Linked DNA regions of Sus scrofa. The protein of the gene in region 1 interacts with the protein of each later gene in a biochemical or structural test. Links are inferred from orthologs where the notes say so. Each region holds a gene or a part of one and is shown on either strand. Other genes may lie near its edges.

Region 1 (3,980 bases):
ACAGAGAACCAAATACATCACTCTCTTTAAGTTTAAAATAAATGAATTCAGAGAAACAATAAGTCTAGCTGACACATAATGACCACCAATAAAGTTTTGATTCCCACCTATTAAAGCCTGAAAAAGGTTGCTCTGAAATATGTTAATAACCCGTTCTATGGAACTTCTGAGCTGTCTGTCTTCAGTTTGGCTTAGTTTTGAACGATAGTCTTCCAAAAGGTGTAATGCTCTCTGGGTATCTGAAAAGAATAAAAAAGTCTGATTAAAATTATATATTTACAAGAAAATATTACATGTTAGCTGTGTAGCAAATGATTGTGCAAGACATCTAAACAGTTCCCCAAACCCTCCAAGTCAATCCATGCTATATGATCATGCACACAAATATATTCCCTAGAATGATCCAAAAAAAATTTAAACATGTCACGGTAGATGAACAAAAGGTGAGTAGTTTGTAATAAATGTGTACTAGCAGTCTACCCCATAAAAGATCACTTGATCAAAATATTAGTAATATAGTTTCAGGTGATCTGATATACAAAAGCGGATTATCCACAACTCATCATTATAACCCAAATATTGTTTCAAAATTACTAGCTCTTAGCCAGTCTCCCACATTAGCCCACAAAATAGTGCTTAGTAATAATAAAGCCAAATATTGAAACACCAACACAGAATTTTAAAAAAGACATTTCAGAAAAAAAAGTGAATTGCCTCTCCAGTCACTAGAGAGACACAAGGAAAAAAGTTTGACCAACAATGAGGTGTTTCCATCTTCTGAATGATGTGAGGCTTAGATTCCCGAAGCAGAAAGAGTAGGATTGTGATGTCTTTCAGAATTACACAAACATATTTAAAACAAAATAGACATACGGAAAAGCAAGTGACACCCACAAGAGAGTTCCCACGTAAATTCTCACCTTGCTTCCGGACCGGCATTTTCCTCCAGAATCAGGAAGAGGCACACACCTTTAAAGAACAAAACAAAAAGGAAAGAGAACTAAAGAAGAGAATCGTGGTTAAATTAGCATTTCCCCCTAACTCTCAAATCGAAAACCCCCCAGCCCCATTTGAAAAGCCCACCTGGCAAAGTTTTCCTAAGTGAAAAGAAGAACCTCAAAACCCAGCAGTGTCAGTCAATCTAGAAAGCTTTAAACTACGGTGGGTACCCCTGCAAATTAAGAGCTGACAGAAGCTTCAAAATTCTCCTCGAAAGCTGCTCCCTCTCAAGAGAGCACTAAATGCCCAGACATGGGGCCACCCCTCTCCCGGCAGAAGCGTGCATAGTTCTCACCTACTACTGGAAGGGTGAGGAAGTCGCTCCGACCCTTGGCCCCTAAGCCAGAGGCGGCCGTAAAGCGCTCAGAGAAGGGGCCAGCTGGACTGATCACCCCGCCCTGCCCGGACCCCTCCTCTCGCTTGCCTGTCTCCAGCTCGCTTCCTCCGAGCTACTCCAGCAGGGTCCAGACAGGGAAGCGGCCGCTCTCCGCGACGCCCTCGCGACCCACATGCACACCTCCGCGGGCCCCCACACCTGCGGCGCCGCCACAAAGTTCCTGCCAGTGCCGTGCGCTCCGAGCAGCGGTGCGCTCCGGCCGGTCTCGGGGCGGCTCCCCCGCCCTGCCCCGCTCCACGTCCCCCCGCCCCGCCCGGGGCTCGCGGAGCTAAGCAGAGAGGGGTGAGGGAACGGGGGAGGAGCTCCCCTCGGTTGCCGCACCCCCACGGCCTCTTCCTCCTCCGCCGCCGCCGCCGCTGGTGCCTACTCACTCGCCGCGGCCCGCTAGCCCGCTCGCCCGCTCGGCTCCTGGCCGCCCCACCCCCGGAACCTCGCCTCCTTCCGCGCCCCCAACCGCTCTCCCCCCAAACTTTCCGCCAAGATGGCGGCCCTGAAGCTGAACTGCCGCGCCCCCACGTGACCGCTCTCCCGGCGCTCTCAGCCAATGGGAAGTGAGGAGGCGGCTCGCGCGGAGCCCGGGGCTCTCCGCTGTGCTACCTTTGGGTTGGAAGGGGGAGGAGGGCCTGGAGCGGGGTGGGGAACGCGAAAGGGGCCCGGGGAGCGTCTAAGCAAACCTCTTCGTTTAAAGGGGGAGGCCATCGAAGTGGCTCTGAGGACAAAGGAGTTGACAAACAGACTCTACAGGTGGTCTGGGGGGCCTGGAAGAGCCCGCCTCTACCCCTCCTTCTCTTCGCCCAAACCCGCCGGTGTGTCCAGCGTTTCTAAGCAAGTGGCGCGCCAGGCCCGGAAGGGTCAGGGTGTGGAAAGACCTAACCTCACCTACACCAGATCCAAGACACACATTCCGAGACATCCTTTAATCTCACTAAGCACGTGCTGTTTTCAATTCCTGGGCAGGAGATAGTACTTGGAGCCCCCGGAGGTGGATCCCCAACCTGGAAAAGCGTGCTCGGGGAGGGGTCGAATCCGCCACCCACCCACCGCAGGAGGGAGGAAAAGGAAGGAGTTTGGGCGGGGGGGCGCGCCGTCTCTGCACTCATACACTTTGTAATAATTTTTTTAAAGTTACTATTAGTCCCTCAGTAAAAGTTGGGGGGGGGACTGAAAGAAGGGCAGGTAAAATAGGGATATTCGTTAATTTGATAGGAATTTGAGGGTTTTATTGGAGCATTTTTAAGTCTATGTGATTAATTCCAAGTATAAAGGCATTTAAGAATGGGAAGAGAAAATTCGTTCTTTTTCACTCACTCATTCATTCCCCCTTGCCTGCAACCTCCGCCTAGTCATCAGCCCCAATCTCTGGCGGCGCCTTTAATAGCTCACCTGTAGCTACCGCAGCCGAGCCGCAACTTGGCAGGCACGGCTAGTTTAAGTTTCGATTACACCTGGGAGCGGGACTATGGGAGGGCCGGGACCACGCTCCCTGCCTGAGCCACTCAAGTTGTCGAAAGAGAATCCGGAAAACCTCTCTAAGTCACTCCCAGATCTTCGAGCCTCTTCCGCGTAACAGGGACCTACCTCCCTGCTCTGAGGTGCAGAGAGAAGAATCTGCTTAAGTTTGCCCAGAATTAGTGACAAAACTGGAAATACAGAGATCATGTCTTTCAAATCGAAAGTCTCTTTCCAGCAAACCTGATAGCCTTTCACTGAGACAGTACCCTTGGGCCAATAAAGGGAAGTCCGGGGAGACTTGTAGTGTAACAGTTGTTTAGAGGTTTGCTGACCACAGAGTTTCACTTTTGGAATGCACCTTGGAATCCTAACTTGACCCACTCTCTCAGTTTAAGATAAGGAAACAGAGGTCCAGGGTAGGGAAGCAATTTGCCCAAGAATATAGGCTAATCAGCGGCAGCAGCCCAGAATTAGCTCACCTAGCTCCAGTCCAGGGCTCCTTCCACTGCGATTTTTGACAACTTGATAGTAGTATGCTGGTACTGGCAGCAAATCTATGGTCTCCTGCATCATGGAAGTTTGAGCAACAGGTAAAGCAACACTACAAAGAAGAAATGGGATGGAAAAGCAAAAGGAAGCTCTTAAAAGTAAGGAGCTTAAATAGAGGGATTTTTGAAAATAGTAAAATGGTGGGGAGAGTTAATAGTGAAAATGGCTGATGGCTATCAAGACTTCATTGAGGAACTGCGAATGAAAGGGTTCCATTTAAGGAACTATTCTAAGAATGGAATATCTTCAGAATTTAGGAGAAGGAGGAAGGGATTTCACCCACTGTTCATCCATTGTTCAGGAAATGGAGATAAAAACAGAGATCCAAGCCCTGCTCTCAGGACCCACAGCCTAATAACAAATGGATAAAGGCCAGTGCAGGTTTTTCCAGGGGCCGCTGAAAAGTCAAAAACAAAATTTGTACAAGTTCTCAATGTCTTCCTAGTCCTCCCCTAAAAACAAAGAGGAGGGGGAGAAGGAAAAGGAGACGAGGGCACAAAGCCCTTCCTTCTTGTCATCTCCTAGCCCTATGTGGTCAGCTGTGTCCAGAATGGACATGAATGCAGCTAGCCCTTGTTCCACC
Region 2 (7,632 bases), on another chromosome or scaffold:
TTTGGCTGGAGTCTTTCCTGGAATCCATGTTATATGAAAACTTTTGTAAACATGTACTATAACTTCATAAGAAAAGTAACAAAATGAGCTTTTTACCACTTAGAACTATAAAAAATATCCACTAAACATTCACTTGTTATAGGATTATTAGCGAGATGAAATTACTTTAGGTGATACACTATAATGGGAAATAATCTTTCCAGAAGTATTTCCACAGATTTTTAATGACCTTACCCCTCCAAATAAATGGAAAATACTGATATTACACAATGTTATTTGTCCAACCAATCATTTCTATTTGCAATTCCACAGATACATATTAGTTTACTTATTGCAATGATGTATTCCTTGTGATTTAAAACCTTTATATTTCAAGGTAGTGAACACAAACATAAATTTATCTTCCAAGTACAAATTCTTTTTATTCTCAAAACTTGTCTTGATATGCTATGATTATACTGAAATGAATGTTTTAGGGCAGACATATTTTTCTGCTGTAGGAAGTAATTTATACACACTTAACATCATTGTTGAAATTATGATCACCAAATATCCAAGTGTCTGAATCTATTAAAAAATACTGCTTTAGGCTTATCAATTAGCAGGTTATTTATTAATCCCTTGAAATCAAGAACCATGGCAAATATGATGACAAGCACTTTCTGAAATAAGAATAAAAGATATTTGTAAATTAGAATCCACATTCAGGTAGATAGATGATGGCAAACAAAGCCTCCCTAGAATACTTCTAAGAAAGCCTTTGATTCTTTTGAAGACTGTCGTATTCTGGAAGAAAAAAAAATCTGTAATAGGCTAGGTATAATTTTTTCCCCCCTGAAACAAAGTCTAATCATCTGCACTGCCAGAGAAGCAGGCTTTTTAAGCCAAAGGAGATTAGCCCTCAGGGTTAAACATGGAGACAGTTCTTTATGTGCTCACTTTCTTTCCTGGGCTTCCTTTTCACTCTACTACAAAAATAGATTTCTGCATAGATGTTGTACATACACAAGGGGGGTGCGAATGGGGGAAGAGAAATCTTGTGAAGTATTTATCTCTTAAGGTTTCCTTCAGCGGCAGAATGTCATAAATGATTCCTACCTGACTCTGCTGCATACGTTTCAGAGGCACACAGAAAATATCTAAGCCAAGGACACCTTTCTGATGGCTGAATAAAAAAGAAGTGGTTTCTCCACTAGGAATTTCCTTTAACTCAAAATCAGGTTCAATATTAATTCTCTGAGCAAAAGCATTCAATTAGAAAACCTCAAAATGGCTTTACCTTTCTTAGAAGCCATAAGGAAAGGATAATAATTTTATCACACAAAAGTATCAAAAACTTCTATAAATAAGAAATACCAAAAAAAAAGTTGGAAAACAAATTACAAAACAAAAAAACCCTTGAAAAGTATATTATAAAGGGCTAATTTATTTCAAGTATAAAAAAATGTTTACAAATTATAAAAATGGACAAAAATCCCAAACTTGTGGTTTACAGAAAAGCAATAGAACGGCTGATAAACATATGAAATCATCGACCTCAATCAACTCAACACAGGCAACTTAAAACAATGAGGTACAGCTTTTTAAGTGCCAGACTGGCAGAGATGAAACACTTTGACAATATGCAGGGCTGGTGAAGGTCTAGGAAACAGGCTGGGGGAAACAGAAATCTATAAAACCTTCCTGGGGGCCATTTGACAGAATTTCTTTAGGAAAATATACACACATATTTTGATCCAGCAATTGTACGTCCAGAAATGAACCGCACAGTTGTCTTAGTACCCATGTGCAAACAAGCAGGAAGAATGATATATATTGTATCACTGTCTCTAAGAGCTAAAAATAAGAAACAACCTAAAAGTCTATTAATAGAAGTGATTAAAGAAATTATGCTACATCTATAAAATAGGGTCCTGGGCATCCCTTGAGAACTTTCAGACATATTTTTAAAAAAGAACAAGGTCTAGAAGATATATATAAAAGCAACAGCATTAAAAAAATGCATGTACATCAGTTTGTAACATATATATCTATATATGTAATCAAACATTCTGGAAGATACATACACTGGGGAGTGGGGTTGGGTGAGAGTTAAGAGGAAGGTGAGACTTTCACCTCTCATTTTATATTTTCCTGCAGAGTTTTAATTTTAACCATTGTATACATGTTACTTTTAAAATAGCATTTAAACACTTAAGATGAGTTTCATTTGAATTAAAATAACAAAGTCTATACAGTATGTGGGAAATCCATCATGAAAAAACTCAGAAGTGTCTGTAATATCAGCAACATGGTTGATGTTTTTCTAATTTAATCCAAGTGACATACGAAGATAAACTGTAAGAACTTGGTGCGTTTCCCATCAGGATGCTAAAAATCAAGGCAGTAGGTAAGGAAATCCACATTTTAGTCTGCACTATTAAGGCATTTAAAAAAACATTTTTTTTTTTTTTCCTTTGAGGGTTGCACCTGAAGAAAATGGAAGTGCCTGGTTTAGGGGTTGAATTGGAGCTGCAGCTGCCAGCCTCCACCACAGCCACAGCAACATAAGATTCAAGCCATGTCTATGACCTACACCACAGCTCACGCAATGCTGAATCCTTGATTCACTGAGCAAGGGCAGGAATCAAAATTGCATCCTTACTATGGACACTAGTCAAGTTTGTAACCCACTCAGCCACAATGTGAACTTCTAAAAAAAAAAAAAAAAAAAAATTTGAACAGACATTCTTCTTCTTCTTTTTTGGGGGGGTCTTTTTAGGACTGCACTTGTGGCACATGGAGGGTCCCAGGCTAGGGGTTGAGGAGTTACAGCCGTTGGCCCACGCCACAACCACAGCAACACCAGATCTCAGCTGCATCTGCGACCTACACCACAGCTCATGGCAAGGCCGGATCCTTAACCCACTGAGTGAGGCCAGGGATCAAATCTGTGTCCTCATGGATACTAATCAGATTCATTTTCACTGAGCCATAATGGGAACTCCTTGAACAGGCATTCTGACGACACCTTTTAACATAACTTATTGGTTTGGGTATGGGTAGGCCTAGCTAGTGAGAAATATTTCACTATGAAAAACTTCAACAAACAGTTTACAACTCCAACCAATTCTTCTAAAATGCAAAAAAAAAAAGTACCTTGTATATCCTAATATTATAGGGGAAGGGGTACATATATTCATTGTAAAAGAAGTCTGATGATATAAATAAATATATATGTATATATAATTAGATGCATTAAAAATTAGAAAGTCTGAAAGACAAGTCAGCCTAAGGTCTGCAGTATAAATTCTGAGATAAAAATATAAGCTTTTCCCACATTACGGCGATGTGGAAGCCTTTTCTATTTCAGAGAGGCCTCACAGAAGATTTCCCCACTGGGCTGTGTGCAGTGCTGTCACCTTGTACTCACCTGTCAGGCTGTCTGGCCGAGGTGGAACCATCCTCTCGTAAATGTCATACTGCTGCTGTCCGAATTGTTCCATGTCATGAACAGTCCTCTGCAGGGAAGGTCCCAGATGCTGTGGTACGGCGGTCATCCCTGAGCGTTTGGGGGATGATGACCCCACCTGGCCTTGGGATGGGGAAGCTACTCGAGTCTGTGCATCCGTAAGGGTCAGCGGGGACCCCACTCTGGTGGTGGTTTGGTACTGAGGGGTTGGTCCGTTGGGGTTGGAGGTCTGCCGGGAGGTGACTGACCCAATCCGACGTACAGCTGATGGGGAGGCGGGTCTCTGTGCAGAGTACGGAGAGGCTGCCCGCTGAGCAGGTAGCGTGGTGGAGGAGTACGCACTGGGGTTCAGTGGTCGGGAGTCGGTCACTGATGGAGAGCCAAAGCCACCACCCAGAGAAGTTCTCAGTGACCCCCTTGAAGGAGACACGCCTGTGCTGATAACATAAGAAGGAGACTGTGCTCTAGATGGAACTGAACTAACTCTTCTCATGGCCCGATTGGCTACTGATGGCTGATGAAAGGGGGAAAAAAGAGAATGGGTTTATCCAGGGTTTTGTCTCCATTGTCATTACAGAAAAAAATGCACACAGCTCACTACAGAATGTGCACTCACTATTTAGTTTAGGCTTCTAAGTTTCTTTTCCTTTCTATGCTTTAGAGCTGGATCTTAATTTTTCCTTATTCTTTTTTTTTTTGGTGATTAAACCCTTACGTTCTCCCTTCGGCATACTAAAACCAACCAGTAAAGAGAGATCTAAAGACAGTTAACATTCCTTTTACGTTTGTCTTTACATTTTTTAACCCTCTGCCTATTCATTCTCCACAACACACAATATGTTGTATTGCAAGTGTGAAGGGTCACTGGAGCAGTATACTTATGTGGTGCCTGTGAGTTAAAGTTTGGCGAAGATAATGCATTTGTGTAAAACAAACAAACAAAAAATGTTTTCAATACGTTAATCTAAATATAGTGAGAGGAGTATCTATAATTGTCTTTAGAACTGTCTTCATGGATTGGCCCCCATTAACAAAAGGAATGTACTCTTTCAAAGTGGAGTAACTGAATGTTTGGATAGGGCCTGGGGTGCAGTACTCTTCTCTGTCAATTTACTCTCAAGGGACAACTTGGGTGCACAGGCGCTTTAGCCAATCTGTCTCTTCTTTTAGCTCAAGTGTGGCTGCTAGTGATTTCAGCCGTTTCTACATCCTTTGATTTATAAGCTTTTAATTTTAGCTGGTGGATTTAAAGAGACGCATGTCAAGGTGCCCTCAAATTTGTTCCAGCAAAAGGAATGCTCAAAATCTCGGCTGGGTTCTTGGCCTAGCCAGCTGGAAAAGACCATACTGGGAAATGAAGAACATTTCTGCCATGACTGGTCCTTTTTTGAATCTGTAGACTCTTCCAGACTGAGTCTCAGATCCTTTCCTTGATGCAGCAGAATAATGAATGGTGGCTGGACTGGGGCACTGGTCTGATGGGACCAGGCAGGGACATGGACTCTAGGACTGGGTGGCTTGGTATCTCCCCAGTGACTGCTACAGTACAGGTGTCATCAACCCCACTTTTAGCCGGGGTAAGAAAGGAAGAAACAGGGATAACTTAAGGACTCTCTTTGTGTCCAGGTGTCAGAAGCAGCTGGCTGGCTGAAACACCTGCTCTAAGACCACTTGTGTGCTCAAACTCAACAATTCTGGGAAGGCAATAGCTGTGGAGATCTGGGGAGGGGACTGTAAATACACAACAAGAAAGAGGGGGTATAAAAATTAGTAGACCATTGGAAAAAGAACTGCTTTTGGGGTTTACTAATAGTGCAAAAGGTGATTTTTAAAAAATTCCACATATTAGCTGTTTACTATCAAAAATGGGATGACACTTGGCCCAGATACTTAGAAATTGTGATGCCAAGACTATATGCAAAAGCAGTTTTATTGCAAAAGCAGTTTTAAAGACCCTCTTGCAATCTTCAGCTCCAGGAACAAAATCATCTTGCTGTAAGTAAAAAAAAAATTAAATAAAAAGGTAACATGACCATTTTTAGGGACAAAATGGATAATCTCTATAGTTAATTAGTATTCAGAAACGTGACTTTAGACCTGCTGATGCAGAAAATTCACCTAAGCACATGAACTCCTGTAAGGACTTAGTCCAAAGCTTCCCGAACTCTTCCATCAGAAGAGTAAATGTACCTCTGAGGAACAGTGGTGCTGGGGTGGGATAGTGGAAGTAGGGGAGGTGGTGGAAGTAGGGGAGGTGGTGGGGCGTGGTACAGCTAGAAGTAGTTTGCTAGGGGTACAGGATTTCCTATCTTAGCTTAAGAACTCATGTATCATATTTGCATTTGCTTTAATACAGAAACGCTTCTTAATGCTTAAAAATTTCCCTTAAACTGTTGGGCCAAAGTTATACTGTGTTTCTCCTTTGGCACTGGGAATCCTGGCCCACTGCTGTGTGTACCTTCAGGGCTTCCTATATTGTACTAAGAGAAGCTTAGTGTTTGCCTAATTTTTTTGATCATCTTGCCACTTTTCTGCTCCAGAGAAATCGCTAGGGTACTTGGACAGACAGTCATCCTCACTGGTTACTGCTAGTTGGGACTCGTAGCACTTCTATTAATTCTGGTGTATGCTGGAGGATTGATGGGAATAAAGCAGCAGTGAATGCAGAGCTCAAGAGTTTTTATAAATGCATATGCATTATTATTATTACTAGTGACTATCACATCAAGTAAGAAACCCCAAACTTAACAGAAAGGTTATGCTTCCATACAATAGCTTTCCATAGCTATTGTACACATTGAACATATTTCATCTATGTTCTAGCAAAGGAAAGAAGAGTGTTTTCAGAGAACAATTCTGAAGATGAAGACAAAAACTTTGGTTAGAAATGGCCAAGTTGAGTTTTGCAAGTGTGGGAATAGTGCTCTGCTCTCTAGGACTCTTTATAGAATATTTTAGCTCTAGTATTTTCAGGAATTCATAACCCTCAGGGACTAGAACATTCCACCTAGCTCTCTCATATTCTCCCTAGACTATTCCCCTCATGCCAAACTTGCTGCTTCCAGAAAAATTATTATCCTATGTCTTGAATTGATCAGGATTCAATAGTAGGAACTAATATATTTTAAGGTTTCATGCCTTAACATTGTAGACTCACAGTGTAAAATGATTTTGCTACTTTATTTCATAACTTCAAAATTGTATTGGCTTTACTTTTAATAATACTTATAGTAGATATTCAATTAGGAGGTTGTTTCTTGACAAGGATCTTGATGTGTTTGGCTTACCTGAACCAGTGTTTGTCCTTCAGCTCTTGAATTCCTCACCAGGTGGTTATTAGTTGATCCTATGAATGAATGTTGTGGTCTATTATCTGTCTTACTCAAATTCTGACTGTTGTGGAAACTCCCTGCTTCCTGGTATCCACTGTCGGAATAAGAATTCATTTGTGTTGAACTTCTTGAGTTACCCAATGATCCTGCAGGAATGAAACCAGAAGGAAATATTTTCATTTTATACTCCAGGTGCTCATTTTCAAAAAAGAAATATTAAAAGCACATCTAATACTTAAAAGATAATACAACAGACCCTCACTTTCATGGAGAGATGTCTGTTCTGGTGAATAGAGGGTCCCTTGTTCTGGCTCTGTCCTGATGAGATAGTTGTTGGGATGGACAGTGTCAGAAACCCTAGGTTTGTTTACACCAGTGTTTGGCACATCTGCAAGAAGATAAGTTTGATTAGTTAAAATGAACAATAATGTTACATAAATACTTGCTTAAAAAGGTTCAAATATTTGTCAGTAATATTGCATAATCTTTTTTTTTATTTGCATAATCTTAATATAAGACTGTTACCTCAAGATTTCATATAAGTTAACACAAGACAATTTTCACTTTGAACGGCACAATCATTTTGACTCTTTTCTTTTTTTTTTGTCTTTTTCTCCTTTTAGGGCTACACTGGCAGTATGTGGAGGTTCCCAGGCTAGGGGTCTAATCAGAACTGTAGCTACCAGCCTATTTTGGAGCCACAGCAACGCCTTAACCCACTGAACAAGGCCAGGGATTGAACCCACAACCTCATGGTTCCTAGTCAGATTTGTTTCCACTGCGCCACGACAGGAACTCCTCATTTTGACTCTTTTCTATATGAAAGTGCTCCATATACTCAGTTTATTA

What was found.
Region 2: the proteins of DLG1 (region 1) and PKP4 interact in a test that uses a peptide from one of them, tested with the Homo sapiens proteins (2 studies listed by IntAct, with this or other methods). The link is inferred for Sus scrofa from reciprocal best matches to the Homo sapiens genes DLG1 and PKP4.

What each region holds. Positions count from the first base shown.
Region 1 is NC_010455.5:132,818,751-132,822,730, reverse strand, and holds the start of DLG1 (disks large homolog 1), read right to left. Parts: upstream 2,801-3,980; 5' UTR 2,780-2,800; intron 1,865-2,779; exon of another isoform or gene 1,295-1,864; intron 1,281-1,294; exon of another isoform or gene 1,084-1,280; intron 970-1,083; 5' UTR 940-969; coding exon 921-939; intron 240-920; coding exon 108-239; intron 1-107. UniProt on the Homo sapiens protein: Essential multidomain scaffolding protein required for normal development. Recruits channels, receptors and signaling molecules to discrete plasma membrane domains in polarized cells.
Region 2 is NC_010457.5:65,618,175-65,625,806, reverse strand, and holds part of PKP4 (plakophilin-4), read right to left. Parts: intron 7,172-7,632; coding exon 7,040-7,171; intron 6,930-7,039; coding exon 6,739-6,929; intron 3,966-6,738; coding exon 3,413-3,965; intron 1-3,412. UniProt on the Homo sapiens protein: Plays a role as a regulator of Rho activity during cytokinesis. May play a role in junctional plaques.